3 linked regions of the Cricetulus griseus genome follow. The protein of the gene in region 1 purifies or fractionates together with the protein of each later gene. This does not show direct contact. Links are inferred from orthologs where the notes say so. Each region holds a gene or a part of one and is shown on either strand. Other genes may lie near its edges.

Region 1 (10,189 bases):
AATACCCAGGTATGACACAAACATCCATCTAGGTGACTGCACAGGGGAACAAACTCCAACAATGTTCTCAAAAATTCTAAGACTGTAAGAGGGGATTCTCACAGGCAGATGAGGAATAGAGACTATTCAAGCCTAAATAAAGGCTGACTCTAATGAAACGGTCTCTATCTCTATCTCTATCTCTATCTCTCTCTCTCTCTCTCTCTCTCTCTCTCTCTCTGTTGTTTTGTGCTGGAGGATCAAGCATAGGGCTTTTGAACATACTAAATCTACAGCAAAGCAAAATCAAGTCAAACATTTGTGAAGAGACAAATGAACTTCGTCTTTCATTTTGTGAATGACGTAAAATAAAAAAATATACAACTTAAAGTATAGTTTAAAATAAAATTACTTACGCCCAAAAGTCTTCAACAGTATCAAACTTAGAGATCAACCGAAGGTTTGCTTGCCAAGTTTTGCTTTTATCATTTTTAAAAAACCAGAGTGCCCACCTAAAAATAAAAAGGCAGTATATAAAAACACACATTCATAGCAGAATTATTTACCAGTCAAAAGGTAGAAATGTCCATCAGCAAGAAAATGATGTAAAAATGTAGAACTGACAGACAGTGGAAAAGCCATCAACCCTGAAGAGGAATCTGACACTCAGTACAACAAGGGTGAAGTCTAAGAACACGGGACTATATGAAATAATACCCACCCCAACCATGGCTCTACTTACATGAGGGACCTAAGGTAGTCCGATCTGGAGAACAAAAGTGGTGCCAAGGAATAGACAGAATGTTGCTGGCAACTTACTTAACTTGTTTTAGTTTAAAAGATGAAAACAGGAGCCAGGTGATGGTGGCACATGCCTTTAATCCCAACACTCAGGAGGTAGAGGCAGGTGATTCTCTGTGAGTTCAAGGCCAGCTTAGTCTACAAAGTGAGTGCCAGGACAACCAGGGCTGTCACACAGAGAAACCATCTCGAAAAAACAAGGGGGAAATAGCACAGCAGGCAAATGCACTCACAGTCAGCCTGGTGACCGTGTTTGGAAAAGTTTGGAACTGGAACCCATGTAGAAGCTAGTTTTGGTTTGTCCTATGACCTCATATTTGTGCTAAGGCACATGAAAACCTTTACATATGTATGTAGACATACACAAAAATAAGTATTTTCATAAAATACCAGGGGGGTCTGAAACAGGGTTTCTCTGTGTAACCTTGATTGTTCTAAAATTTTTTGTAGACCAGGATGACCCTGAACTCAGATATCACTGCCTTCCTCCAAGCTAGGACTAAAGACATGTGTCACCTGGCTCTAAAATACATTTTTTAAAGATGTAAATAGGTTTTTTTTTTTAATACAATATAACATGAATGCAATTATTACTAAGCTATAGGTTTTAAAAGGTTAAGAGGGGCTGGACTGGTGGCTCAGTGGTTGAAAGCTCTGGCTATTCTTGCAGAGGACTCAGTTACAATTCCCAGTACCCACATGGTGGTTCACAGTTATCCTTAACTAGTTCCAGGATCTGATGCCCTCTTCTGGCTTCCAGAAGCACTATATACACATGCTGGCCAAAAACCACCAAGCTCATAAAAATAAATCTAAAGTTAAAAAAATAAAACACAAAGGTAATGTAAGTTGTTATTTGTGCTTTACTATATACATTTATAAGAACACAATTTAAAGTGGCAGCTTCTATTACAAAAGCAAACTAGTTTTCATTTAAAGAGTAGATGCATTTTAGTTGGAAAAACAGTGCTTTATTAGTTTGTCAGGTCCTAGGTTTGATCCTCAGAATTAAAAATAAATAGCATTGTGTATCAACTACATAACAGATTCTCTGCAATAGACAATTACAGTGTACAAAATAATATGATAGTAGTCAAGAAAGTACAATTATTTAAAGACAAAACAATAGAAATTGGCTAAAAGGAAAAAGAGGAATGGGGAAAGCATTAAATGTGATGCTATAGTCAAACACACTAAAAAAACAGATCAACAGATATGCTTTAAAATAATGTATGACAATTTCTATATAGCTATATATACTTCTGGCTTACGGTTTTCCTCCTAACATAGTTTATACAGAAGCCTTACACCCCCCCACCTACCTGCAGTGTCTAATGGTAATAATTATTACTCTCTGAGATACAAAACAGTCATCTCTCCATACCCTTAGGTTTCACACCCTCAAGATGTCAGCAACCTCAGAAAACATTTAGGGGAAGCCCTTGCACCCATTCTGCACAGGGTTCTACCTGTATGACACAAACAAAAACCATTCAAAGCGTCTACACTGTGTGAGGTAGCATCATTTAGAAATGACTCAAAATGCATCTTCTTAAGCTAAGGGACTCGCAACCTCAGAAGTTGTACAACCAAGCCTACAAACCTTATGATCTCAGCTGCATGTGGTGGCTCAAACCTGAAGGAATTCGAAACTCATGGGCTACCCGGTGAGTTCCAAGCTATGTTGGGCTACAGTATAAGCACCTTTCTCACTAAATTCCTACCCTTTTACATGTCCTTTACATATCCTACATGAAAAACACATCTGTTTAACAAAATACTGTTTTGAATGGGGATACAAATTATCCATTTTTTTTCCAATTTCACTTGAAAGACTGATAAGCTATACTTATTTTCTGGGAAAAGAATAAGCCTATTACTTAAAATTACGAGTTATCAGGATAAAAATTGTAATTACGCAAAGCTTGCAGTTGTTGCAATAAGCTTGACAATTTCACAAAACAATGGTATTTCTGATGAGTTTAGGTGATGTTTTATGCTCTAAATGAAATGTGTCCACATTTTTCAGATCTGCATAAATCACTGGATTCTTCTCAGAGCAATCAATAGATCATTCTACAAGAATCACACAAGTAAAAGACCTGTTTCAAAGGCAAGAAAAGCCAACGGATTCCAATGTCCTGTCTTAGCATTATTACTGTAACAACAGAGTTAAGCATGAACACAAAAAACAAAACTCTTAAGAGTCCTCAGTATTACTGTTCTGTTTTAAGAGTTTAAAAGGAGGCAGGCAGTGATGAGCTCACCTTTAGTCCCAGCACTCAGGAGCCAGAGACAGATCTCTGTGAGTTTGAGGCCAGCCCCATCTACAGAGAGAGTTCCAGGGCTACAGAAAAACCCTGCCTTAAAAAGAAAAAGTTTAAAAGGAGGGGCTGGAGAGAGACCTCAATGGTGAACAGCACTTGCAGAGGAAACATGTTTGCTTCCCAGCACCCACAAGGTAGTTCACAACCAGTGTGTTTAACGCCAATTCCAAAGGATTTGACACCTTCTGGCCTCCATTTGCATTGTATGCACATGAGGGGAACACTTACACACCTAAAATAAAAACAATGAACAATTTTTTTAAGTGAAAAGGGGGTCACAAGATCAAATATTTGAGGAATTATTGAAAACAAAATGATATAATCATAAAGGACATTAGCATATTTATTTTTAGAATTACTACATGGGGGCTGGAGAGATGGCTCAGAGGTTAAGAGCACTGACAGCTCTTCCAGAGGTCCTGAGTTCAATTCCCAGCAACCACATGGTAGCTCACAACCACCCATTATGAGATCTGGTGCCCACTTCTGGTGTGCAGGTATACATGGAAGCAGAATGTTGTATACATAATAAATAAATAAAATCTTAAAAAAAAATTACTACATGGTAAAGTTGTACTAAGACTGACAGGAAATCCAGAAGCCATGGGGAAAATGATATTTGCCTACATAAATATTAAAATTTTTAAATCCAATCCCATACAATTCCAAAGAACCTAATAAAAGTAAATTGGAACTGCATTTGCTGATTTACTATTCCTGCTATTTGAGTAACTGGAAATCAACTCGAAAGATAATCCAAAAGGAAAAAAAAAAAAAAAGATATAGGTAAAAACCCAGAACAGACTCTCCAAAGAGAAAACCACAAGTGACCAAAAGAATATGAAAGTGCTCTCAAGCACACAGTAAGAAAAGCGGACTTCCCACTTCAGACTGGCACCCATCTGGTCATAACAAACAGCTCACGCACAAGTGGGCACATACAACAGCACTGCAAGGCACCCCACCACCGTTAACAAAGGGGAGGAAGGCAAACATACTACCTTTATACACTGTCCCCACTCATTACTAAATCCTCTAACTGTTAAGTGCTTATAAGAACATACAGAAACCACAAAATTTACGAAAAGTCAGTGATGGTTTTAGTACCAAATAGCATTTATAGTATTTTCCCAACTGGCATACTTTGCAAAATAAAAAAAAAAGATTAGAACTTAGAGAAATTGTAATCTCTTGAGATCTCACGAGGATTGAATAAATCTGTTTACACTTTTGCATGGTCTCAAATTTCTCAGCAGTCTGGTGTGCTGGGTTACTCCCCTCCTAATGACAGCAAAGCAGTAACTGGGTTCAGACAGCTAAAAGGAGTGTTAGCTGTGTATGCACATGAGTGTGTTGGCCTGTGTGTATGTCCATGGACGAGTGAAGGTGGGACTGGATGCCCTGAAACTGGAGCTACTGATGGTCATGAAAAGCCATCTGAGTCCTCTGCAGGAGCAGCTCATGCCTGTAACCATGGAGCATCAACCCCTAGAGTTAGGGTTTTAAAATGCCATAAAAAGGGCAAAAACTATGCTATCCCCTTGATGGTGAAATACGACAATAAATTACAAACAGGCTGGCAGGCTTTCAAATAAACTCAGTTAAAAAAAAAAAAAAAAAAAAAAAGATCTGCTTTTGGTAAACAAATATGGAAACCAGAAAGGAACTCGACCCTCAGAAGTCAGTTCCAGTGTTACTTTTTTCCAGGTTCATGTACATTTCAAGTTTCCATTTTCTTCCCACCATCAGTAAAATAAAAATGTTTTTCATTACATAATCTGAAAACCCAGTAACTAAACCAGAAACATAGGTAAAGCTAGAGAACGGTATAACAAACCACCACCCATCTTCCGTTACACCGCTCATTTGAAAACTTGCCTTAGTTCCCCTCCCTCCTCCACCTGGTCTGCATGGGCCACCTCCTCTAGCCTTCACAAACCCCATCTCTCTCCTTTCTCAATCTGCCTTTGTTTCCCATTCTTGCTTCCTAATATGTCTTATCCACTTTTCAAATGCTCCAACCTCTCATTCCTTCACCTACACTTTACAAAAAGCCTTCGCTGAAGTCAGCAAGGAGTTACTTCAGTGTGCAGCCCAAGGGAGACTGTGACACCTTGAGTAAGTCTTGCTCCTGTATCCCTTGGCCCCCCACTGTCCTGTCTTCATGACCATATCCTTCAGAGGCTTCTCTTCTCCTCAGCGAAGATCCTTTGTGGGCTGACACCTGAGCATATACATCTAAAAGGAGGCACACCTCATCCTTCTGTTGAAACCTAGCTGTGCACCACCCTTCTTACCTCTCTCAGAAAGCAGCTTACCTGTTCTGTAGAGGGTGTTTGATATAGTGCTCTGGGTTGGCAACCTCCTGATTAGATTCTGTTTTTTCCTCTTCCACAGGTGGGGGATTAGTAGTAGGGGTGGTTTCCTAGTGGAAAATAATAAAGTAGGATTTAAAAAAAACTTTAAACAAAACCAGGACAGCAATACTATAAGCAAGTTTGATACAACGAATAAGAGCAGATGATTTCACAAGATTGACTACAGACCAACCCCTGGGACAACCAGACCACTTTAGCTCTTCATTAAAGCAGAAAGGCTTCTCAAATTTAAGTGATTTTTATAAAACTGTAGATACACCCCCCCTATTTGCACATTTTAGGTCATCAAAGATTATAAATAAAGGTAATGGCCCCTCCAAAGCTAGCTCGAGAATCCATCTCAAAAAACAAAAACAAAACAAAACCAAAAAAGAAAAAAAAATAGCCCAATTTTCTTAATATGTTAAAATATTATAGAAGGGCGGTTTAGTGTGTTCAATTCCTAGGTCCACAAAAAGAAAGGTAAACCAGTACTCTATATTATGGAGGTAGACTGTGGAAAGGTTTAAACTATTATTTTGCAAGTATAACAACTATGTTGATACAATGAAAACAATTAGAAAAAAACAAAAACAGACAAACAAAACAGCATTTCAAGTGAGCAAGCCAGCAGTACAGAAGTCCTTCATAAATTCATGTCAGACTCACTGCTTGACACAACAGCTGTTTGGAATTTTCTGTGGTAATATATTATTTATGATTTATTAAAGCTTGCCTGTGGTTTCAGAAAGCAAAGTCAGCCACAAGCCATAGAAGCCAGGCACACACCTTTAATCCCAGAAGCTAGGAGGTAGTGGTATACATCTTTAAAGGTAGATGATCTGTGAAACTAAGGCCACCCAGATCTACACAAGATTGATCCAGTCCTAAAGAGAAACAGCTTACACAAAGATGATATCAGCACCTGGGATCACACACTTTTAATCCCAGCATTAGGGAGGTATGTAAGACAGGAGCAAGGTCTCAGTATCAGGCATTCATTCTCCAGCCTCATGGAAGATAGGAAGACATTCAGACTTCTACAGTCACGCTGAGGAAAGGCAGCAGGATCAGCCCATTCAACCTGAGGTAATGGTAACAGCTAATGGCTTGGCTGTTTTGTTTTTCTAATCTTCAGCTTCAAGTCTGAACCCCAATATCTATCTCTGGGTCTTTTATTTTTCGTGATAAAATTTTCAACAGGTAAGGCATAATTAATATTGTCATTGCAACTATGAAAAGGAGCCTGGGAATAATTTAAAGCATTCACCACTGTGCCCTTTGCAGTTCCTCAGCCTGCTAAAAACTGACCTTAACAGTTAAAATAGCCAAAGTCAGTCATTAGAAGCTAAAACAAATGCCCGAACATGTATGTGCACGCACACAGGCACTTCAACAATACAATATTTTTTATTGAACTTATATACTCTTCAGCATTGAGCATCAAGCCTAAGGCCTTGTATGTATAAAGCAACACTGAATTATACACCCAGTCTAACTACCAGCTTTCAATTGACCCAGAAAGATATGTATGCTCTAAAAGACCTCAACTAGAAGCAATAAATACTAAATTTAAACGGTACTTTTTCTTAAATCAGCCTATAACATGTACAGAAACTTTATGCTTACCCAGACACATTGGCAAGCATCTTAATACTATGGTCAGATGAGAAGCAAGAGACAGGACCACCCAGAGGTTGTGGGCCAGCTAGCTTTGAGTATGAGATACAAGGGTGTAAGCATAGACATAGACACACACACACACACACACACACACACACACACACACACACACACACACACACTAAATACAAGAATAAACAAAAACTATTTAAAAATAAGTAAAGAGGGGCTGGAGAGATGGCTCAGGGGTTAAGAGAACTGCCTGCTCTTCCAGAGGTCCTGAGTTCAATTCCCAGTAACCACATGGTGGCTCACAACCATCCGTTATGAGATCTGGTGCCCTCTTCTGGTGTGCAGATATATACATGGAAGCAGAATGTTGTATACATAATAAATAAAAATCTTTAAAAAAAAAAAAAAGTAAAGAGGCTGGTCAGATAGTTTGGCGGGTAGGAGACAACTGGTTCCTGCAAGTTCTCCTCCTGACATCCATGTTCCCACTACATATACACAAATAAGTAAATATAAAAAACTACATAGAAGTCACTCTATCACAGGGCTTGGTGGCACACGCCTTTAATCCCAGCACTTGGGAGGCAGAGGCAGGCGGATCTCTGTTGAGTTCCAGGCCAGCCTAGTTTCCAGTGAGTGCCAGGATAGGCTCCAAAGCTATACAGAGAAACCCTGTCTCAAAAAACCCCCACCCCCAAATCTTGGCATTACGAGTATGGTTTAAGTCTTAAAAACAAATCTTGATAGTGTCAAGGACATCTATCTATGGATTAACTGCCTCCAAAAATAAAACTGCACTCTTCAGCTGGGGTGGGGAAAGGAGGTTGCATGCCTTTAATCCCAGCAGCAAGTAAGTTCGAGTCTGAGGCCAGCCTGGTCTACAGAGGGAGTTCCAGGACAACCAGAGCTATATAGAGAAACCCTGTCTTAAAATAAGCAAATCACAAACACAAACAAACCAAAAACTGAACTCTTCAGAGAGGATAATACACTCTTAAGAATTAAGCTCACTGGGGCTAGAAAGAGAGCTCAGTGGTTAAGAGCACTGGCTGTGAGGGGCGGTGGCGGCACACACCTTTAGTCCCAGCACTCCTGAGGCAGAGGCAAGAAGATCTGAATTACAGGCCAGACTGGTTTACAAAGTGAGTTCCAGGACAGGCTCCAAAACTACAGAGATACCCTGTCTTGAAAACAAATAAATACATAAATTTTAAAAAAAAAAAAAAAAAAAGAATTTTCTTAAGTGACTAATGGTAAAGAGATAATTCTAAAGACCTGAGTTCAGTTCCCAGCAACCACATGGTGGCTCACAACCATCCGTTATGAGATTGGTGCCCTCTGCTGGCATGCAGGAAGAAGACTGTATACATAATAAGTAAATAAATAAAAAATCTTAAAGAAAAAAAAAAAGTTACCCAAGTCTTAACTACAATTTCCACTGAGATACAAATTATTCACTTTAGAAAGTGTTTAATTTATGTGTATGAGTGTTTAGCCTGCATGGCACATGTATATATGTATGTGTGCCATGTTCACAGAAGTCAGGCTTCCTAGAACTAGAATTAGATGGTGGTATGGGAGCTGGGAACCAATCCAAGGTCATCTACTAGAGCAGCCAATGCTCCTAACTACACAACCATCTTTGCAGCCCTTAATTTTATTTTTAAGACACTATGTAGCCCTGGCTGTACAGGAAGGAGATCTGCTTACTTCTGCATCTTGAGTACTAGGATTACAATCATATGCCTTGACACACAGCTAAATACACTGACTTTTAAGGTTGTTTCTTACAGAGTACAGATGGCAGAACTGAATTACATCTTTACATTTAAAAAGAAACTTCTTAAAATGGGCATAATGGTTTGCATCTGTAATTGAAGGACTTAGGGAGGCTAAATTAAGACTCAATGTTCCAAGCTAGCCTATGCTGCCTAGCCATTTTGAGGTCAGTCTATGGAAGTCTGTGAAACCCTGTCTCAGAAACCAATGCAGCTTCCAACTGGCTACGTAGTAGATGGCAATGATCCTGAGTGCTAGGAATACAAGTGTACAGCACCATGGCTGCCTTTCCCAACCACATCTTAAATGCCCACTTTTTACCAGGATTTTCAGGTTTGCAAATCATTTGGACAGAAAAGTAAAGGCTAACAATAGATTATGGCTATTCTCAAAATAATCTAACACATTTTTAAACTGATAGCCTGACCTTGAAAGGCCACAGTATAAAGTACATTTCACAGTTAGACCAGAGAAGAAAGAGCAAAGTCATAGGATGGTCCTGTGTTTATCCAGACCATATCCAAGGTACTCAAAGTGAGGGTGGTCCAAGAAACTGAAGACTGGGCAGTATGCTCCAGAGATTATGAAGGTCGCAGATGTCAAGCCAAAGAACATCTCAACATTTCAGCAGTGGAAGCCATGAACTACCAGGTCAGACAGATTAAATGCCCATGGCAAGTAAGGGAAGAGAGAAATACCATCGGTCCAAGTGCAAAAGAGTAAACTTGATTTTAGATCAGTTGAAGTCACATGTGTCAAATAAGGGGTTCAGTACTATACTTTAGAGATTCCAGGTTCAGTAAGCCATTGTACCAACAGCAGAAAGTTGAAAAGAAAGAAAAAAGCAGAGCAAGAGCAGGATAAATCTAACTAGCTGCAAAAACAAAACAAAAAATCTCACCTTTTTCAATATTCTGTAAAAATTAGAACATGTCAACAAGTTAATACTACCAATGTGTCATAGTCCTAACATTATATGGCTGAGTGTTTCCTGGGTCTACCCCATGTTTATGGTATTTTCTATAATAAATGTGATGAAACTTTAACTTCTTACTCTGATCACATCAATTTTTCATCAGTTTCCAAAACCTTGGTATGCTTGTTTGTGGTTTTAAATATTCAAATCTGTCACCAACTTGCAATACAAAGATGCATTTAATCATCTCCTCTGGAAATGAGGGTTAGCCCTCCAAGACACTCCATTGTGTCTACCACTACCTCCACACCAAAAATAACTTAACCCTTCATCTTCATTTGAAGTATATAAAATCCTTCAGTTTAGCACACAGCTCTCCTGGCACTAATATAGAT
Region 2 (10,627 bases), on another chromosome or scaffold:
AGCTCCTTTGGGCTCTAACACTAAGGAGATGTGAGAAGGGGGACATGACCTGAGATGGGACTGGGGGACCCAGAGTGGGTCGTGTAGCTCAATTGGGCCATTCTCTCAGAGTGCTGAGACCAAGAACTAAAATTCCAACATAGACCTTTAACTTCCAGGCCTACCCATGCCCTACCTCTGCCTAAGGACAAGAGCTCAGTATTTTCTAGAAACCCAATTCACTTGCAATTCCATGGCCCTTCTTGGACTCTAATGAGGCAGGGTATGCCTTCACCTGGATGACCACATGCGGGCAGCAACAGCTTCCCTTGGACAGATTCTGCCACAGGCTCTTTACTGGACAACTAAGACTCCACGGAGGCTAACTTGGGCCTCTCCTCAACAGGTCTCTGAGGGAGGGCTATCAGACCTGGGCTCTCCGGACAGGTAGCTGGATGCAGGTTAATACCCACCCACGGCCACATGTACCTGCGCCGCACTCTTCCTCCCTCTTCCCACGATTACCCATCCAGGATCCTACCCCTTTCTCTCACACATCAGATTCCTGACACTCCTGATGCTTTCTGCTTCTGCTCACTGTCCCCAACCCAACACTGACAGGAGTTACCAAAGGGAAATGATGGTCCCATGGGGTCTCTCACACCCGCCAGCACCTCAGAGCAGCTGCTTGCTCAGATTCTCTCTAGGCCGCTGACTTTAACGTTCCCAGATCTTCTAAGTCTGCTGTTCCTCCAAGCCCTGCCTCATCCCTCACACATACAGAGCACAGAGCACAGCAGCTGGGCTCCCACCTGGGTGAGGGCGACTGTTGACTCATGCTGGTCAAGGACGGTGGCCTCACACACCAATCAATGGCCCTCTAACCGGCCCTGCTTGGTCCCCTGGTCGGCAACACACACACACCCCACCCCAGCTAACACCCCTGGGAAAACTCAAATTCACACTCCAGGAGATGGGCACCCCACTGTCCAAGGGGCCCCAGCCCCCCACCCCCAGTCCTGTGCCAACCACACACACACACATATCTCAAAGTGGTGGTATGTTTGGGTTTTTTAACCAAAGAATGAGAATTCCAAACAGGGTCACGAAAGTTAACTCATCAAATAAAAATTTAAAAAAAAATTAAACATCATTTTGGCAGGGATTTTACAGTGAATAATTCTATATACATGCTATAGACATTGTTTCAATAAAACACACTATCTACAATCACTTACATTTAATTGTCCTGCTGTTTCTAGTTCATGTAGAGATCACCTTCAGTCACAAATGAGTCAGTTTCCCTGCCTGTGGGGACTGTGCTATCCCTTAAGAGAGGCACTGGCAAAGCAAAGCAAGATTTTGAGAACCCTATCAGCTATCTTGCTTATAAGAACACATGCCTGGAGCCAAGTGCTCCAGAATGGTTTAGTAGTTAAGGCAGCAATGTGACATGTCACGTAAAAGTTGAGTGTGCCCTTTGAAACTGCTCCAAGGAGCCGAAAACAGGGGCCCCTTTTCTAAGTGTACCTCTTGAGGGTAGAGCCACAGATTTAGGAAAAGTCACTCAGGAACAGCCTACTAAAACCTTTAAAGTTATAATTTAAGTTTTAAACAAAAGTTCAAATTACTTCTCATAAATAGAAATTATTCACTTCTTTAAAATGGGGATACATTTAGTCACTTTATCAAAACAACTTAAAGCTGGTATATACACCATCTATTAAGTCAAAATTAAGGTTTCAATGCATGTTTGTTAATTAGCCAGCCCACCAAATAGTCTCGGAACACTAGAAGAATGATACTCCTTTTCTCTCCCATAGTTTTCCAGTTTGTCTGTAGCAGAACATTATTCGAAAGTCCGGTCTCTGAACAAATCTCCGCTGGTAACCATCATCCAGAGTTAAAGTAGCCTTTGTCACCCTCAATGTCCACTTCCTGGTCAGAATCCTCTGAAATCTCGGAGTCAGGGTCTTCCTGCGAGGCTGGGGAGGGTGAACACTGAGAACTATCCAAAGAGGCACCTTTATTCTGTTCACTGGGTGAGTGTTGGCCCTGGTCACAGGAAGTGTCCAAATTGTCCAACTCATCCTTTTTATTGCTTTGAGGGTTCTCCTGAAAGAAGAGGGGATGAAAACATAGAGGGTAAGATCAAAGACATAAAAACCAAAAGTTTAGTTGAAACACTGTTTTCATCTAAAATCTCCTTCCTAAGAAGATACACTTGTGATTCCTTTTCCCATTGGAAAGAAGAGTGGCAAAGTCACATCGGAGAGAGATTAGACATGACAGAGACCCATGATCTCAATCAAGATCTTCAGTTTACGAGGAAAAATAACTCAATCCAGACTGCACTGTCGTCATTCTTTAAATATTGCCCAAAACAGGGTTTCCTAGCATTTTAAAACGAACAAATGTTAATGGCTGGTTTGTAATACCAAGGCCCACTCATGCCCACCCACAAGAAAAGAAAAAAGGAAAAACATACTAAATTAAGAAGCTGTGAAATTATAGATTGAATCCTTTTCATTTGCCTTTTGAAGTAAATTTATGAGCACATACACATATAACTATGTACCAAGTTACAAAATCATGGCAAAGAAAAATCACAGACCCAAATAACATTGTTGAAGAGACTGCAATTTGCTTAAAATCTGGGCAAATTTTTCTGGAGAAAAATATTTCCCATATTTCATAGAAAGCTCTGTTTTAAAAAGTCCTTGGGAAACTAGCTCCAAGCCTTTGAATAAGAACCAAGTCCAGTCAGTGAGTGTTTAAGCCTGTGGGTGTCTAATATGGATGCAAACATTATATAGAAACATTGTAATTCTCAAGTGACCAAATTTGCAAAAGCTGGGCAAGGTTAGTGATGAAAGGGAATCCTTAGATACTTAGGAATAATAAAACTACAGGAAGTCTTTTGTTGTTTCAAATGTTCTTTTCCCACTTAGCAAACTTTTGTTTCAAGCTGTGGTCGATGTTATTTAAGGCACTGCCAGGTGAGCCATTCAGCGGTTGTCAGATAACTCTGGAAACATCCAGTCTGGGACCTCAGAAACAAATCCTTAGCTCTAAATCAGCAGGGTTGCTTTGGAAGATGAGTTAGCATATACATATATATATATATGATATATATATATATATCATATATATATCACATGTTTCTTAACAAGGTTATTGAAAGACTTCTTAGGAAGTTTAAGCTACTTTCCAAATAGGCATGGTGATTTCTTTACATGTTTTACATTCATTTTAAAAGCTGGCAAAAGATGGACAATAATTTTTAAAGTCTTTGATATTTAATTTTTCCTTTTTAAAAAGTGCAAATAAGACTTAAAGGTGTTTGTGTCTTTATATTTACCCTTGAGTCCTGCCTGGTTTTATTATGGCTGTGTAAATAAAAGAAACAATTTTCTCCCAAAGATAACTACTTATGTCATTTACTGTCAATTACTTTATCTTTCCTGCGTTAATGAGATAAACAACATATGGGGTTTATAAAACAATTAGCTAGGCGGTTTACTGGCCAGTGTGTGAAACCCTAGCATAATTGATATAGGAACTGCATTAGGTGCTTTTAGCATTAGTGCCACCTGAGCAACTCATCCTGAATTTCAGCAGGACTATTTGCCCTTTTAATCAAGGTGAAGAGGTTAAACAGTCTCTTCAAATGACTTTTGCATACAACCCATAACAGGTCTCCGCATTTAGATAACATGATACAAACATCTATTTCCATAGAAACAGAACCATGTCAATACCTGTTTCAGTCTTCTCCATTTAGCTCGGCGATTCTGAAACCAGGTTTTGACCTACAGAAAAGAAAGAAAGTTTACAGAAAGTTCCAAATCCCGAGAGACCTGGGGAGGAAGGGAGACGGGGCTGGTGCTGTGGCGAGGACCAGCCCTGCAGCTGGGTAGGGGCAGAACATGCCCAGGGTGCCAGTGTTTTCTTCAGCACTAAAAGCCTGCTGGGGCTGCGGGACCCAGAGAACTGACCTGTCTCTCGCTGAGCTGCAACATCTTGGCCAGACGCTTCCTCTCGGGTGGGGAGAGGTATTTCTGAGTCTCGAACTTCTTCTCCAGTTCGATGGTCTGGTCGTTGGAGAACCTCACTTGGCCGCCTTTCCTTTTGTGCAGGGGCCGCTGGAGGAAAGGGCTCCAGAGCAAGGGCTTGCCTGTGGGCCAGAAGAAAGGCGGTCATCACGGCCCTAGAGCCCCTGGGCAGTCCCAGACCTACCTGGTCCCAGGTGACAGAGGGGGGAGGCCAAAAAGCAGGCATATTCTCATCACATACGTTCTCAGGTGTATGGATGGATTCAACAGTCCCTACTAATGCACACAAAGTCAGCTAAACTGTTTGAGCACACAGACCACCTCGGGACACTCAAAACACCGTACTACCCGACTATCACACCTGTGGCTAAATGCAAACAAATCTCCTCAACCCAAAGAACTCCTGCCGGGCTTAAAACCTACCGACCGGCTCTTGTATGTACACAACTTTTTTTTTTTTTTTTTTTTTTTTTTTTTTTTTTTTGCAAAGGATTCAGTGTGCGCATTTAGGGGAGGAGCAGGGTTACACAGAAGAGCTCGCTGGGCGCTAGTGTTAGGCCTCGAGCGGGGGGCCTCCAATCGTGGCTGGAGCACACCTCGGCCTCCTCTGATTTCACACTCGGCCTGCGGGGGCGGCCAGTTAAAGCCACCCCGTGGGCTATGGCAACATTTCCGTCAATGTGTTTCCTGTTGGTCTGTCTCAAAAAAAAAAAAAAAAAAAAGCTTCCTTCTGCTCAGGCCCAGCAGAAACCCAAGGAAACCAGGGCGATCTCTGTGAAAACGTCTGCCCCAGGACCGTTCCTGCCCCACAGGGGGATAGAGTGGGTGGCGGTCACACACCCTGCAGGCTGAAGTTTAAAAATACAAATATTGATAACCTTTTAAGTACAGAATTGTTAACACCCACACCTCAAATCCCGGTAGCGGTGAGAATAGGAGCGCTGGAGGCTGCGTCATTTAAACGCTGACATCAAAATACTAATTCATTAAAATGTTAATTGTCTCCAAGGTCCCTAGTGAAACTGGGGAAAGTGTTGACTTTAAAGTCTGGTGAGCCCACCTCTTATTCCCTCTAGGGAATCAGACTGCGCGGGCGATGAGGGACTCAGGCCCCGAACCCAGTCACCGCTGCTTATTTATTTCTTAGGAACATTATGGGGACAAGCCCCGAAAATTCTCATGCAGTCAGTGTCTGTGTCGCCGTTCCTAACTGTTCGGGGTCCGCACCTTGTTACTCCAAAGCTGTGGTGGTGCGTCGGTATGTCCGTCCCTCTTTCTACAGGCCTACACCTAAACATTTTGAAAGCTGGCATTGTTTTTTCGAGATTTTGCTTGCGTCAGGCTTCAGACTGGTGCAAAACAGCCTCCAAAAGGGGGGCGGGGGGAGGCAGAGAGGAAGCAACTGGTTATTTTAGCTGCCATAAAGTCACATCCCACACAGAGGAAATGAACAATATCAGAAAAACGGATCCTGGCTATCAGACGTCGAGTGTTTCCTGAATTTGTCTGTATTGAGGATGTCGATAAAATAATCAGCAGCGTGCACTACTCCGGGGGAAGGGTCTGCTTCATGCAGCCAGGAAAACACTTAACAGCTTCAGAAACCAGATTTTCTCCTATCGAGAGCTCAAGATTTCCTGTATGAACGGAAAGGGTCAGGCTCCTTCACTGCACAAGCTTGTTGAACCAAGCCCAGCCCAGGAACCGCCCGGCCCGGCAGCTATCCCTGCGCTGCAGGGGCCAGGCTCGGGGCGCCCCGACGTCCTCTTCCCGGAGTCGCCCGCTAAGGGGGCCCCACCCGGGCCGACACGCGTGGCCAGGGCTGCCCTCCATTACTAGCCGGGGCGTCCCGGACACTCTCCCGACTATGCTCGCCCTGGATGTCTGCAAGGTGCAAGGGAAAGCAATCAGAGTGGCCGAGCGTCCCAGCTCCCGCAGCGCGTCCCCGGGGCCCGCGCCTCCTGTGCCCGCGCGCACCCGCGAGTCGCTCGCTCAGAGCTTTCGCCGCAACTTTCTCCGGCGTCTCCTGTCCGCCCCGCCGCCGCCTCCCGCGCGCTGCCACCCGCCGGGTGCGCCTTCCCCATTTGGACGCCCGCTCCCGGGGCCCCGCCAACCCCGGCCGCCTTACCCAGGGGGTCGTGGCGGAGCAGGGCGTGCGTGTAGTCGTTCATCGTCCGCGGGAAGGGGTACAGAGGGCTTCCGAAGCCACCGGGGCCGTAGGCGGCGGCCAGCGCGGCGGCGGGGTGGTGCGAGAAGGCTGGGTGGACCGGCGTGGGCTCGTACACCGGGGTCCGGTAGGAGGACACGAGGCTGGTGAAGGAGGAGTTGGGGGATGGCAGCGTGGGGGTGGGCGTGGGCGCGGCGGGTCCGCGACCCAGAATGTCGTCGATATAGAAGGGCGTCGGGTGCGCGGGCTGCAGCAGCGGCGTGGGTGCGTACAGCGGTACTCCCACGGCGGGCGCAGCCGCGGGTCCCGGGTGCGGGAACTGCATGACGGCGCTGCAGCGGCCCCTCCGAGAGCGCTGCCGGCCCGCGCCACCGCGCTACATTTATTTGCGTTCCGCGCTCCCGGCGATAGGCTCGGGCAGCCACGGGGTGGGGCCGCGCTCGGGCCCCTTCCTGCCGCCAGGCCCTGCGGCCAATGGCGCGGGCCGCGGACTCGCCTCCGCCCCTGCCCCGACCCGCCCCCGCCGGCCCTGCTCCCGCCCCCGAGACGCTCGGGCTGCTGAGCTCCGGGGACCCTGCTCCGGGGTGTCCCGCCACCGCCACCGCCGGCGCTCCCGGCACTGAGAGTCCGACTGCGACCGTCGAAGAGGTGAGCGCAAGGCATGTGCCAGGAACGCGGATCCCAGCGGGAAGCGCCACGGCGGAAATTCGGGGCGGCATCTGGCCGCTGGGGGACGAATGGGACTCTGCGGGCCAGCAGGTCGTCGGCAGGATGGCACCTCCCGGAGCCAGAGTAACCTCCCAGAGGCTGCGCTCCTTGGGGTAACGGTGGCACTGTCTAGTGACTGGGCCCTGTGCTGCTCAGAGCTCCAAGAAGACGCTAGCTAGCCTTTGACTGCGACCCAGACGGGTACTGACAGAAAGACTGCAGGTGCTCCGTATTCCACCTGGAAACCCCCAAACTCGGCCACCTCCCTCGATACTTGGCAGAATCTGCTCCAGGCGGGAATCAAGGCAAGACCTGGATCATACAGCGCGCGGCAGGTGCTATGCAGTGTTCTTCGATCCAGCGGAAGGCGGGGGGTCTGCTCCTGGACCTCTGTCCCGGGGCCCTGAAGGACACAGCTGTGCGCAGCCGGGCTCCGAGGTTTTGCACATGTTTTCTATTGAAAGTCGTAGCGCGCTGCTCAGTGTGGCCTCGGCCCTGTGCGGCTTCACTCGCCTCTGGGGCAAAGGGGCATTTTCTTGATTGACGCCCCCCTGCGGTGACCACACCTTGAGTTGGGCAATTTCTGCTAAGGTTTTCTATTAATAGAAAAACTCCCTGACTTTTTTCTATTGAGATTTTAAATTTCACCGTTTAGAATTACCTCTTCAGCTGATCCAAGCTAAAGAGGAGAAAACTGGGTAGCCGGAGGACCTGGGTTCGAGTTTCACTGCACACATTTTTCTTGAGCTACTACTGTGTGTAATTAGCAAACGAGAGAGGTAGCCCCTGTCCTCATGGAAGCAGGAAGCAAATTGAACCCAGTAACATGTTTGCTAGGGAGAAATCGTGCCTAATGGTCAGAAACTTTAGGGGACAGCCCCTAGTTTGGTGAAAAGGAGAGAGTCAATTTGAGAAAGGGAAGGGAAAGTCTTCCCAAAGGAAATGATGTTTGAAAGATAAGTAGGTGTCAACAAGCCTAGGGTGTGAGTGAGTCCAAGTCAGAACAGCATGTGAATAGGTTACCTAACACAGCCTCCGTCAGTTTATTGCTACAGGCTTTTCTCGTCTGAAACGTTTGGAACTTGCCATAAAGCTTCCTGACTGCTTGGGGATGGAATCACTGACAGCTTTCAGAATAATGACAGACACAAGCTACAGCACAGACAAACCAGTGAGTGTGAAGCCCTGTTATTTGAGTTTAAACCTTGGGAGCTAGAAATAATGTATCTCCAGTGTGTTCACTATGTTACACGAGTAATAGAAGATAGCAGCAGAGTTGAGAGGGGCAGGGCTGAAAGGGAATAGACACTTGTGAATACCTGGAGAACTGAACCATGTGACACTTCTGGTGAGCTCAAATACATCTTGTGCTAGACACTGTAGGAAGACAACAGACTGCTTGAAAGGGCTTCTATTGGGCAACTTGGGGTGATTTAAGCTTCAAAAATAGATTGTCAAGGTGCTAGCCTGGCAACGTAAGTTTTGATCCACAGAACCCATGATGGAAGGAAAAACTAGTCCCATCGTTATCCTCTGCCATATGCTTTTGGTGACACACGTTATACACAACAGTAATGAAATTTAGAAAGTATGATAAAATTCTGACAATTTTATTTTGTTTTTTAAGATAGGGTTTCTCTGTGTAACCGCCCTAGCTATCCTGGAACTCGTAGACCAGACTGGCCTCAAACTCCCAGAGATCCTCCTGCCTCTGCCTCCTGAGTGCTGGGATTAAAGGTGAGCACCACCACCACCTGGCAAATTATGACAGTTTCTAAATCCATTGAATTCAAGGGAAATAAAGGAGTGGTGGGTGGGAAAACTGGAGGAATGCCAGAACAAATATAAAACATTTGAGGTTGGTGAGATTGATGGCTCAGCCTATGAGAGATTACCTCCCTATGCTGCAAACCTGAAGACCTGACCTCACACTCCAGACCCCACATGAAAAAAAAAAAAATTCGGAAAGAGAGCCCTCCGCTGGAGCTCACAACATGAATGCCCAAAACCCTCATCATACACAATAACGATGAGATAGAATTTAATTTAGAAAGTTTTGTTGATTCAGGAAATGAAATAATCCAATCAAGAAAGACCCGTGAGACACCACTATGGAATGAAACTGAAGATAAGGATTATGGTAGTCTGATAAGGTCTTACAGAATTCTTTGGGCTTAGGGTAAAAGGAGAAGAACTAAATGACTTGTACGTAGGTGGCAGTATTTCACTGGTGCTGTGTAGGTGTGATTTCGGTCTTGTGAGTTAAATATTGGAAAACCCACTACTAATGGATTCAAACTGAAGTATTTAAGGATGTGGGTCATGATATCTACAACCTTCAAGTAGTTTGTTATACAGGTTATACTTACACATATGCACACAACTGTAAATGTCTGTGTGTGGAAACATAAAGAGATAAACCAAATAAACAGTAATTGTCGAGTTTGGGTGAAGGACATACAGGTCTTTGTTGTGCTATTGTTTTCACTTCACTGTAGCTTTGAAAGTTTTCAGTATAAAAACTGGAAAAGATTAAGTAGTTTTGTATATTAAAAAAAAAAAAAGACCTAAAGTGCTGTGTCATAGAGATGGCTCAGTGGGTAAAGACACTCACCTCGGAGCCTGAGGACCTGAGTTTGATCCCTGGGACATGGTGAACAGAGAGGACTGACGGACAAGGCGTCTCTCTGACCACGCACACACTGGCTGTGGCACTTGGGAACCCACACAGGTGCATACACAAGCCTAAGAGTGACCAGGGAAGTGGCTTAATAGTTAAAAGTCACTTGCAGGGGACCCAGGCTCCATCCCAGATTCTCTCTTCTGGCCTCTGAGAGCACCTGCACGCACATGGTGCTCATAAATCCAAGCAGGCACACACACATGCAAATAAATGACTTTTAAAAGTGGGACTGGAGAGCAGCTCATTGATTAAGAGCACTTGCTGCTTTCCCAGAGGATCCAAGTTCAGTTCCCAGCACCCATGTCTGGAAGCTCACAACTGCTTCTAACTCTAGTAACCCAACACCCTCTTCTGGCCTCTGTGGGCACATCCCACACACAGAATTCACTCACACGAAGTTGGGTGTTACTAGGGGTTGAAGCCAGAGCCTTACCATGGTAGGCAAATACTCAACAGCTGGGATATGCCTTCTGCTCCTTTTAATTTATTTTTTTTTTGAGACAGGGTCTCAAATGTAGCCAGGCTGACCTCCAACTCGATATGTAGCCAAGGGAAACCTTGAACTTCCATCCTTCTGCCTACACTTCCCAGGGTGCCGGGATCCTGGGCACATGCTACTTCCAGTTTATGCAGTACTAAGAATCAAACCCAGGGCTTTATGCACACTAGGGGGAAAAACCCTATCAACTGAGCCACAGCTCCAGCTTCCTGTCTTTTATTGGGAGGCAGGGTCTTGCTAAGTTGTCCAGGATGAATGTGAACTTGAAAGCCTCCTGCCTCAGTGTCTCAAATAATTCAGGTTATAGGCCTGAGCCACCACACCTGGGGCCACTCAATTTTAAAGGTTTTGTTTGGTTTTTAGTTATTCATTAGACCTATATACAATTTCAGTAGTATCTTGTCTTTGGAGACATTCAGGAGAGGGTTCTCACAGAATCTTTGTCTCCACAGGTGACTCTATACCTACCCTTCTTATCACCTGGCCTGATGGAGACTTCGTGTTTTAGATTCCAGAAAGACACAGACTCTGAGGAC
Region 3 (9,311 bases), on another chromosome or scaffold:
TACCTCTAGCTAGAGGGTAGGAACAGGACGCCAGGATGGACTGATCCATCATATCATGTTAAAGGAATGGCTAGTCACTGGCCCCAGAAGGGAGTCTGGCAGCTTCACCAGCAGCTGTGCCAGGCACTGGAGGATGAACCCCTTAAAGGCATTTGGTTACTCTGGTGTTTTCATCCCTTCCTGCCAGTTGTCTCCTAGTGACTCAACCATGGGAAGGCACAGGAAGGCACATGACAAGAAACTCGTGGCTTTTAATCCTGGCAGGGCAAGGGAAGCCAAGGACAAAGATTTCATAAAGTTTTCATATCCTTTTTTTGTTGTTATCAGAAGTGGGACACCCATTCATGTTTATTAACCACCCATTACAAAATCTCTGATTTTGTTCTTAAAGACAGAGAAGGAGAATAACTTTGAGTCAGTTGTAAGTTGAAGAAATGAGGATGTTCCTTAGTGGCCCGGAGTGAATTGGAGCAAATGCTCAGAGGGGCTGGTAGGTTGATTGCCGTCTTCGGGTAATGCAGAAGGCAATAAGTACCAGGGTGAGGAGGCCAAGGAGGACCAGGCCAATGATGAGAGGCAGCAAGAGGGATTGGTCACTGGTGCAAGAGAAACCTGGTAGAAAGATGGGATTATTAGGGATTCCAGCAGCAGTGGATGGGATAAAGGTAGGAGGAAGAAAAAAGGAGATGATGGAAGGAGGTTGATGAGGTGCTCAACCCCATAATTCAGAGCAAAGTAGAGGGGGAATAGGCGGTCTTGTTAAAGAAAGAGGGCTCTGGGGAAGAGGTTTCCTGTGCAGTGGGAGACTCCCAGGAAGGAAGAGGTAGGGAGGTCTTACATGGCCCCAAGTGTCCAGTGTTGGGAAGCTGAGCAGCCTGTAGTCTCAGGAAGAGTAGGTCAAGGTGAACAGCTGGAGAAAGAACTATGCTTGTATTTCTGCAACAGAAGCTTTGGCCCAGGGGAGCTTGGAGCTCTCGAAGAGATGAATTCTGAGCTGAGAATGTCCATTCTGAAGAAGTTATTAATGAAGAGTCAATTCAGTCCACTCACAACTCCTGAGTCTTGTTGTCGAGCCGCCCCCCCCCCCCCCAAACTAGCTAGTGTGATAATGAGAAGGGAAGTTACTCACGTGCTGCCTGTGGGAAGGACACATTGTATTCCACTGCCATGTAGTTGAGGTAGACTGTACCCTGCTCCATGTCCTTGAGGTGAACAGAAAGGATTAGAGCAGCAGGGACAGTGGCATTATGTCCACAGAGCAAAGGACGCAGCTTAGGGGTGTAGGTATGGGGCACAGGAGAGTAAAGGATGAAGACAAAAGCTGTCTACCTGTTTGAATCCAAAGGTGAGCCGCCCATAAGGAAATGAGAGAGACAGGTGGGGATAGGCATGGTCACAGCCCCCCTGGACCTTGGTTTTGTTGGGATTCAATGTAGTAATGCCCCAGGCCTACAGAAGTGAAAGAATAGTGAGTCTGAAATTACATGGCTATGTCATACAGTATTTTTTTATATCCTCTGCTCTTTCTCCTGAACCACCCCAGAACTCACCCCTTGCCCCCTGAAACACCTCAGAACTTACCCCTGTCCCCTTTAAGCCCCACTACCTTAGCTTTACCTTTCCTCCACCCTGAGTTGGGTACAGGATTCGAATTTGAATTTGTGCTTGGAGCTGAACACAGGGCTGGGAGCCATTAGTCCATGTGTAGTTTCCAAGAGCCTCCTTGGAGCCTGGACTAGGACTTGGAGAGGGTGGAGTTGGTCCAGGTTGAGGGCCGATGGTAGAGAACCCTGGACTAGGAGCAGTGCCGTTGTTTGTGGTGGGGTAAACTGTGGCATTCCCATGACTGGTGGTCACAGCAGGGTTGTGAGTGGAAGTTGTGGGTCCAGAGCTGGTAGCGGTGCTATTACTTGTTGGAAGAACTGTGACATTTCTGTGACTGGTGGTAGTGGGCCTGTGGCTGGTAGTAGAGCTTGCTGTGCTTTCTGTGGCTGTAGGTGTCATCGTGAAGGATGGCAGGAGAGTAGCAGCTTTTTTGTGAGGACAGTCTTCCCCTGTTCCTTGGGCTTTCAGCAAGAAATCGGTTGGCTACCCAGGTACAGGTTCCTGCCCAGGAGCTCCCTCCCTCCCCTCTCCATTCTCCTTACCTACAAGCAGTCCCAGCAAGACCAAGCAAAGCACTTCATACCTCATGGTAGAGCAGCTCAAGAGTCCAGCTGGGCTGTACCAGCTCCTTCCTCAACCCAATAACCTCTGCCTTCTCTTGAAGAGGAAATGAAAGTTGCACTTCCCTTAAGACAATCCCACCCCAGAACCTGACTCAGACACCTCAGCTCCAGCCACTCACTTTAGTCGCTCTTCTCACAATTAAGCTGTGATTGGCAGTGGCAGTGGGAGGTACAAAATCTTAGCAACCACGTGAAAAATGAGGCAGTTGACTCATAGGATCTTAAGCAAAACTTGCTCTACTTGAGTTTACAAGGCAAGCAAACTAATTAGGAGGCCCTTTCCGCATTGGTTAGGAACCCTGCCCCACCCGTGTGCATCTCCTGGTCTTCACTTTAGTTCCATGATACCAAGAGCTACAGGGAAATCCTCACCCCCAAAGATAGGCAGTCAGCATCCACATGTGTTGGGCACTTTGGGATCTTAAGCAGAACTAGGTTTTGCTGACTTCTTGACCCCATTACTGTGTTCAGTTCCTCAAGTATCATGTGATACTCGTGACTAACGTTTTGTGAAGGGTCCTGTACTGTCAGTACCAGTTTTCAGTACATAGTGGATCACTTGATATATTTTGAACACCAGCAGGAGGCAACAACACAGTAATGAACCACTATAGGAGCTGACCCACACAAACAGCAGGTGGGAGAGGAACAAACAAGAAGCCCAAACAGGCAGTTTCCAAGTAATTTTATTCAGAATTTTGTGTTTGTTTCCTGAATCAATAAATACTATACAAAACAATGTAAAAATGGCTACCATTTTCTCTCCCCTGCTCCCCTCACCTGGGGACAATTCCCTGGACAACTTCATGCAGGGACTCTCCCTGTAGATTTGGTCCAGCAAATGAGGCCAGACATGTTTTAGCCCCTTGATTCACTTTTGGAGATTTGGCTGGGGTAGTAGGAAAGTCTTTAGAATCAGGTTAGGGGAATGGATTAGTGTTTTGGGGTTGGGGGAAGGAGACGGCGCCTGGGGCAGAACCTACCCCAAAGAAAAGGGTATCTATAATGTTCACGGTTCCTTCTTTTTGCCTCAAAAAGTGACATTTATTCAAAGAGAGAGAGAGAGAAAAACAAAACAAAAACAAAAACAAGATGTCCATCCCTTGGCTCCCTTCCCTCCCCCCTCCAGCTGTTCCTCAGCCCCCCAGGACTGAACCCTGGCTAGAGCCAGGTAACAGGACAGCCCCTCAAATGAGGTCAGCAACATTGAGGGGCATCTCTTCAATGGAGGTGTTGTAGAATGTCTCAATGTCTCGAAGAGTCCTCTTGTCTTCTTCTGTCACCATATTGATAGCCACACCTTTACGGCCAAAGCGACCACCACGACCAATTCTAAGGGCAAAAAGGGATAATAATGGAATGGGGAAAGAGGATGACATTTGGATTTCAGCGCTTGGGTATTTGGCACTGCAGACCCTTACTTACCTGTGGATGTAGTTTTCCCTGTTGGTGGGAAGGTCGTAATTGATGACTAAGGAGACCTGCTGCACATCAATGCCTCTGGCCTAGGTCAAGAAAGATCACAGAACTGTCAGAGGGTACAATCTGTCCAACTGATTTAGGAATACATGTAGGCAGCCAAGGCAGGGAAAGGCAACAAACAAGCATCTCTTGTTCCCCCAGAGACCTCAGGCATGCCAGGTTTTCTTCCAAGTTGCTACGTTCCTGAAAGGGGCACTAGTCAGCCCCTTGGAGAGGGAATCACCTTGGACTCAACTCCTCCCACCCCTCTTGCTTTTCCTGAAACAGGCCTCTACTCACCAACAGGTCAGTGGTAATTAATACTCTGCTAGAACCAGACCGGAACTCCCTCATGATCACATCTCGTTCCTTTTGGTCCATATCTCCATGCTAGAAAACAAGTAGCACAAGGCTTTTGGCATTCTATGCTTAAAACACAAGCACACACAGCTACTTAGAAGATCTGAGAAAACTTACCATGGCGGAAACAGTGAAATCCCGGGCATGCATCTTTTCAGTGAGCCAATCCACCTTCCTTCTGGTATTGATAAAGATTACTGCTTGGGTGATAGTCAGGGTTTCATACAAGTCACACAATGTGTCAAGCTTCCACTCCTGGAGATCCGGAAACATCAGTCAGGGGCTATACCCAACAACTTACTACCAGGTCCGCCTCCTGCACTAGGCCCCACCTCTCTTTCCACATTGATGTAGAATTGACGGATACCCTCCAGGGTCAACTCTTCTTTCTTGACAAGAATCCGAATGGGGTCTCTCATGAACTTCTTGGTCACCTCAAGGACATCTGAGGGCATTGTAGCAGACAACAAAACTACCTAGTTGGGGAGAGAAAAGTGGATGGCAATAAGGGTTGCTTGTCCTCCTCACATCACAACCAAGCCATGGGTTATCCTATGAAGACAGCAGCTTACCTGTGTGTTACTGTTGAGCTTTTGGAATATATCATATATCTGGTCCTTGAACCCACGGCTTAACATTTCATCTGCTTCATCCAGTACAAACATCTTGATGTATTTGGGGGCTAGGAAGACAGAAAAGATACCAACACATAATAAGAGAAATGTGAAACATTTAATTAAGTCCCTTAGTAAAGGGACAGGCAAGGAGCAGTCTGCTCTCAGAATATAAGGATTGATCCTTTGCCTAAGGCCTCCCTGCCAGGCCAGAAAATAGTCCTGGTAAGTAGAACACTACCTGGGCTAAGGCAACAGGGAAGCTGGGCTCAGATGACACGCATGGGGTTCATCACAGAGCAACTAACATCCTAGGAAAGTGCGACAACTGTAAAATGGCACTCACACAGGTATCTCCGGTTAAGCATATCAAACACCCGGCCAGGGGTGCCCACGATGATATGGGGAGCTTCCATCTGCAACTTCTGCACCTCAGCACGCACATTAGTGCCTCCAATACAGGCATGACAAGAGGCACCCATGTAGTCTCCTAATGCCATGACCACCTTTTGAATCTAAACAAAAGACAACTAAGTTAGCTTCGGCTATATACACCTGGAAGTTTGTTACTTTCCCCTTTAATCCATTTATCTAAAACTCTCCTTAAGACACCCCCCCACACACAAATGGCAGAATCCTTGTTTCTGAACACAGGCTAACAGTTAAGTTTTCCATCCTACACAAAACCCTCTAAAATACCAAGCCAGGCCACGCCAGCCCTTATGGCTTAGAACTAACTCACAGGCTCCATCCTGCCATCACATTCCAAAGGCTGGGATTATGAACACAACAATGTAAGCAACATGTTTATTATATATCCCTGCCACAGAACCAAAGACTTCCCTTATTGGGCAAGTAAGCATTCCACTACTGAGCTACACCCTCAGCCTGCATACAAACAAAACACAACCCCCCCACCCATGACACGGACAAACAGGACTCCTTGCTTACCCCAGCACCCAGATCTTCAGAATAATCACTAGGTTTAAACATTAGTAACCAAGAGGCAGCAGGATTTTATGTGCCCTAGGCATGAAACAGCTTTGGCCACCAAGTCAGGCATCAAGCTAGGATGAACAAAGGACTGCCACCTGATCTGCCCCTGGCTCATATAAGAACATCACCACCACCAAGGTGTCTCTTTGCCCATTGCCAGGGTTTCTTCATAAAATAGCTGGCCCTGCTACCCAGCCAGCTGCATTCCACTTCACTTTATGCCAAAGGAAGTGGGTTCTACTGACAGAAAAAGATTTGATAATTACCCCAACAAATCAACAGCTCTAGAAGCTACCAACCCATTTTATTTACCAATTCCGGAACATGTTTTTAACTGCCAGCAGTGCCAGAAAATGCACTGAAGTGTCATTCTGAAACTAGTCAATTAAGGAGGAAAGAAGCCACTCTTACCTGCTGAGCCAACTCACGAGTGGGGGCCAGAACCAAAGCCTGAGTGGCCTTAAGATCTAACTCAATCTGCTGCAGAATTGATATGGCAAATGTAGCTGTTTTCCCAGTCCCAGACTGGGCTTGAGCAATCACATCATAACCTACAATCAGATCAAGAATTACATGCGGTAAATGTTCTTGCACCGTGGGCTCATTGACAGACAGTAGGGATATCATGGTATCCATAAGGAAACAAGGTTGCAAACAATGTTAGGGGAGGGCCTCAAATTTTTGTCACCCAGATATTGTGACAAAGTCCAGGGTACCAGAACATTATGAACTTATACCACACCCACTTGAGCTAGACACAAAACATTAAAAATTAAAGTGCCTATGAACTAACTGGAAACACCAACTCCTGTCTGTATCCAAGGCATGACCTAGATACCGACATAAACTAAATCCAAGAACCAAGGAAGCAGTGTAAATAAATTGTTCCCCTGTAGTTGCCATGCCCACCACCAGGTCAGGGACAGTACAAATCTATCCTGACAATTCTTACCCTTGATACAAGGAAGAATGGCTCGCTGCTGGATGGCAGAGGGCTTCTCAAAACCATAGGCATAAATACCACGGAGGAGGGATTCTGAGAGATTCATGTCATCAAAGCTATCCACAATCTCATTCCAGTTACTCTGTGGGATACAAAGAAATGAAAACTCAGGAAGATAGTAGCATGTGTTTACACAAAAGCCGCAGCCACTCCACCCCATGTCTGCCGTCTGTCTCATTCTAGATGTCTGAGGTCACTGTCTCTATAAGGAGGTACCTGTTTACTTCAGACATGTAAAGCGGGGGATTGAATAGGAGAGAAAACGCATAAGGCAGGGTAGTGGCAGAAAGTTGTAGTCTCACCTCGATGACGCCTTCAGGCTCCATCCCGTCGGGGCCATTGTCTCTGGATCTGTTGATTCAAAGCATTAGTTTTGCTTCCTGCTTGAGAGGAGCGCAGAAACAACCAACCCATTCCCGCTCGTTCCCAATGGACAATCAAGACGCACATTTAGGGTGTCTCTCCTGTTAATAAAGATCAAGGGGCTGTGCCCTCACACATGAGGCTGAGATGCAATCTTTGCCGCCAGACCCACATGTTCTGGTCCTGACCGATCAAAGCGCGTGCACCTCCTCCCGGGCTCCAAGGCCACCGGAAGTCCCGCCCTTCACCTCGGAGCTCCGAGGGTGGGCCGTCCCCTTCCCCCCACGTCATGCCGCCCGCGCCCTCCCCCACTCCCTCCGCCGGCCCCCCTCCCCAGTACCCGGATGTGGGAGGCCGCGGGCGGTGGCGGCCTCGCGCACAATGAGCCGCAGCCGAGTTAGCTAAGGGGGAGATTGCACAACACAGACAAGCGAAGCAGACTGGGGGAGGGGAAGCTCTCAAGCGGCCATGTGCTCATTCGCTCCGCCACTCGGCGGCGTCTCCCCCGCCATGAAACAACCCGCCCGCCCCCGTCGAGAAATGGCGTCGCCCTCCCATACCTCAGGCCGCTCACCCCCGGAGGAAAGTGGACCTGCCCATCCGCAGTTTGCCAATTGCCCGGCTTGTGCGGCAAAATGGACCCGCCCGCCCGGCGCCGGGAGCCCTCCCGGCGCCTCACTCGGCCGCTCCTCGGGGTTAAGCTCAGTCCCGGCCGTCAAGAAAACCAGCACCCCGAGCGGCCGGCTTCTTCCCCGACCCACATTCCAAGAGTGACGACGGGACTGGCTGGAGGCGCCGGCACCCCCGCCGGTCGCGAGTGGTACCGCCAGAATCCTCCGGAGCCGTCGCGCGCGCACACCCTGCCCGACACAGGGAGGCAACCAGACTAGCCGGCTCCGGGCCGCGCAGCCGCCTCGCCGCTTTCCCACGCTAGGTCAAGACCTCGTCCTGCCTCTGACTACCCGGGCTTCGCGTACGGCATCCCCTCGGGCAGAGGCCTCGTGACGAACCTCGCGCCCTCCGCCCTGGGAAGGCTGTCCTTCCCCGTCTCCGCGCTGGTGGCGGCGTCCGCCGTGGACCATTCCCTTGCCCCCCCTCCCGGACGTTTCCTCCCGGCTCGGTTCCCCCGCAACCTGGTAGGTTTGGGGCAATGGGCCTCTCAACTCCCCCGTGGGGCCTTCGGAAGGGAGCCGCGGGGTAAGTAGCCACAGCCTCTTGCAAATGCCTTTCTTACCGAGAATCCTGACTCGCAGACATGATCCTTAGAATCTAGGGTGGAGTGCCCGCCTATCGACAACTTATAGAGCGCCCGACCCCGCCCCAGCCATCGCATTGGTTTGGCTGCCTCTGCCCCGCCTGCCGGCACTCTGCAACTCGACGTGACGTTAGTTTGTAGGCGCTTTAGCTCGTACGCCCTATTGGGTAATTTGAATGCCTATCAAGGCTGAGGCCCGCCCTGCAGCCTCATTGGCTGAAGGGCCCGCCTTTCTCACTGGTACGGAAGTGACATACAGAAGTCGGGCCTCGCGGCCGGGCAGCCATCTTGGAGCCCAGCACCTTTACACGTGCGGAGGCGATCGTGCCTTAAGTCATGTGGTTCAGCGGGTCCTATCAAGCGACGGGGGTGAGGCCTTAGCCTCCAGGGACTTCCGGGCACCCGGGACTACCACTTCCTTTACATTTCTGCTACAGGTTTCTACAAGACCCAAGGTTTAGTCTTCCGTCCACTAATGATTGGTGTGTTCACAGTCGAGCAAGAATGACAGAACCAGTGTCGATATCCCAGGGTATAGGAAGTTTCTCTAGCTGGAGGGAAAAAGGATGGAACCCATTTCTGGGCTAAAAGGCATAGGTATGCTGTATTTCTGGCCAAGGAGTACCTGGCCCACTCCATCGCTGGTTCTTTTAGCTGCTGTTCTCAGGTTCTCCCAGGCTCCCTTATTTTTGAAGCTTAATTCCTCTTCTTCCGGGCCTCTGCTACGCTGCCCTAAGTGCTGCCATATATAGAAAGCTGGCTTTTTGAGATCTAAGATCTGAAAAAGGGGTAGCTAACAGCACTAGCTGGAAGAAGTCCTGAGATAGAGACATCAGCTATTGTAAGGCCCCTCAAGGAAGACCACCACTTATGTATCTTCAAAGGATCCTTTATTGACCAGAGCAGGACCGTGGCATTTTTATATATATATATTTATATATATAAAAAAAAAGTCTGAAGATCTGGCAGGCAGCAATCCCTTTGCCCGCCCACCACCCCCACAGTTTTCCTGCCCCCTGAACATGGAAGGA

The links.
Region 2: the proteins of Eif4e (region 1) and Hhex purify together in Homo sapiens (affinity purification with western blotting; 3 studies listed by BioGRID and IntAct, with this or other methods). This does not show direct contact. The link is inferred for Cricetulus griseus from reciprocal best matches to the Homo sapiens genes EIF4E and HHEX.
Region 3: the proteins of Eif4e (region 1) and Eif4a1 purify together in Homo sapiens (affinity purification with mass spectrometry; 8 studies listed by BioGRID and IntAct, counting the BioPlex papers as one, with this or other methods). This does not show direct contact. The link is inferred for Cricetulus griseus from reciprocal best matches to the Homo sapiens genes EIF4E and EIF4A1.

Annotation. Positions count from the first base shown.
Region 1 is NW_023276806.1:21,028,471-21,038,659, forward strand, and holds part of Eif4e (eukaryotic translation initiation factor 4E), read right to left. Parts: intron 5,533-10,189; coding exon 5,426-5,532; intron 492-5,425; coding exon 396-491; intron 1-395. UniProt on the Homo sapiens protein: Acts in the cytoplasm to initiate and regulate protein synthesis and is required in the nucleus for export of a subset of mRNAs from the nucleus to the cytoplasm which promotes processes such as RNA capping, processing and splicing.
Region 2 is NC_048596.1:24,364,939-24,375,565, forward strand, and holds Hhex (hematopoietically-expressed homeobox protein HHEX), read right to left. Parts: upstream 6,527-10,627; coding exon 6,163-6,526; intron 4,157-6,162; coding exon 3,978-4,156; intron 3,792-3,977; coding exon 3,741-3,791; intron 2,095-3,740; coding exon 1,873-2,094; downstream 1-1,872. UniProt on the Homo sapiens protein: Recognizes the DNA sequence 5'-ATTAA-3'. Transcriptional repressor. Activator of WNT-mediated transcription in conjunction with CTNNB1.
Region 3 is NC_048600.1:83,508,910-83,518,220, forward strand, and holds Eif4a1 (eukaryotic initiation factor 4A-I), read right to left. Parts: upstream 8,370-9,311; 5' UTR 8,283-8,369; coding exon 8,260-8,282; intron 8,223-8,259; exon of another isoform or gene 7,341-8,222; intron 7,014-7,340; coding exon 6,965-7,013; intron 6,745-6,964; coding exon 6,612-6,744; intron 6,211-6,611; coding exon 6,071-6,210; intron 5,825-6,070; exon of another isoform or gene 5,681-5,824; intron 5,179-5,680; coding exon 5,010-5,178; intron 4,965-5,009; exon of another isoform or gene 4,824-4,964; intron 4,732-4,823; coding exon 4,622-4,731; intron 4,526-4,621; coding exon 4,382-4,525; intron 4,305-4,381; coding exon 4,167-4,304; intron 4,080-4,166; coding exon 3,990-4,079; intron 3,941-3,989; exon of another isoform or gene 3,795-3,940; intron 3,734-3,794; coding exon 3,654-3,733; intron 3,561-3,653; coding exon 3,416-3,560; 3' UTR 3,248-3,415; downstream 1-3,247. Other genes in the region: Cd68 (macrosialin), read right to left, coding at 479-612, 839-1,009, 1,130-1,202, 1,330-1,449, 1,618-2,066, 2,148-2,193. UniProt on the Homo sapiens protein: ATP-dependent RNA helicase which is a subunit of the eIF4F complex involved in cap recognition and is required for mRNA binding to ribosome.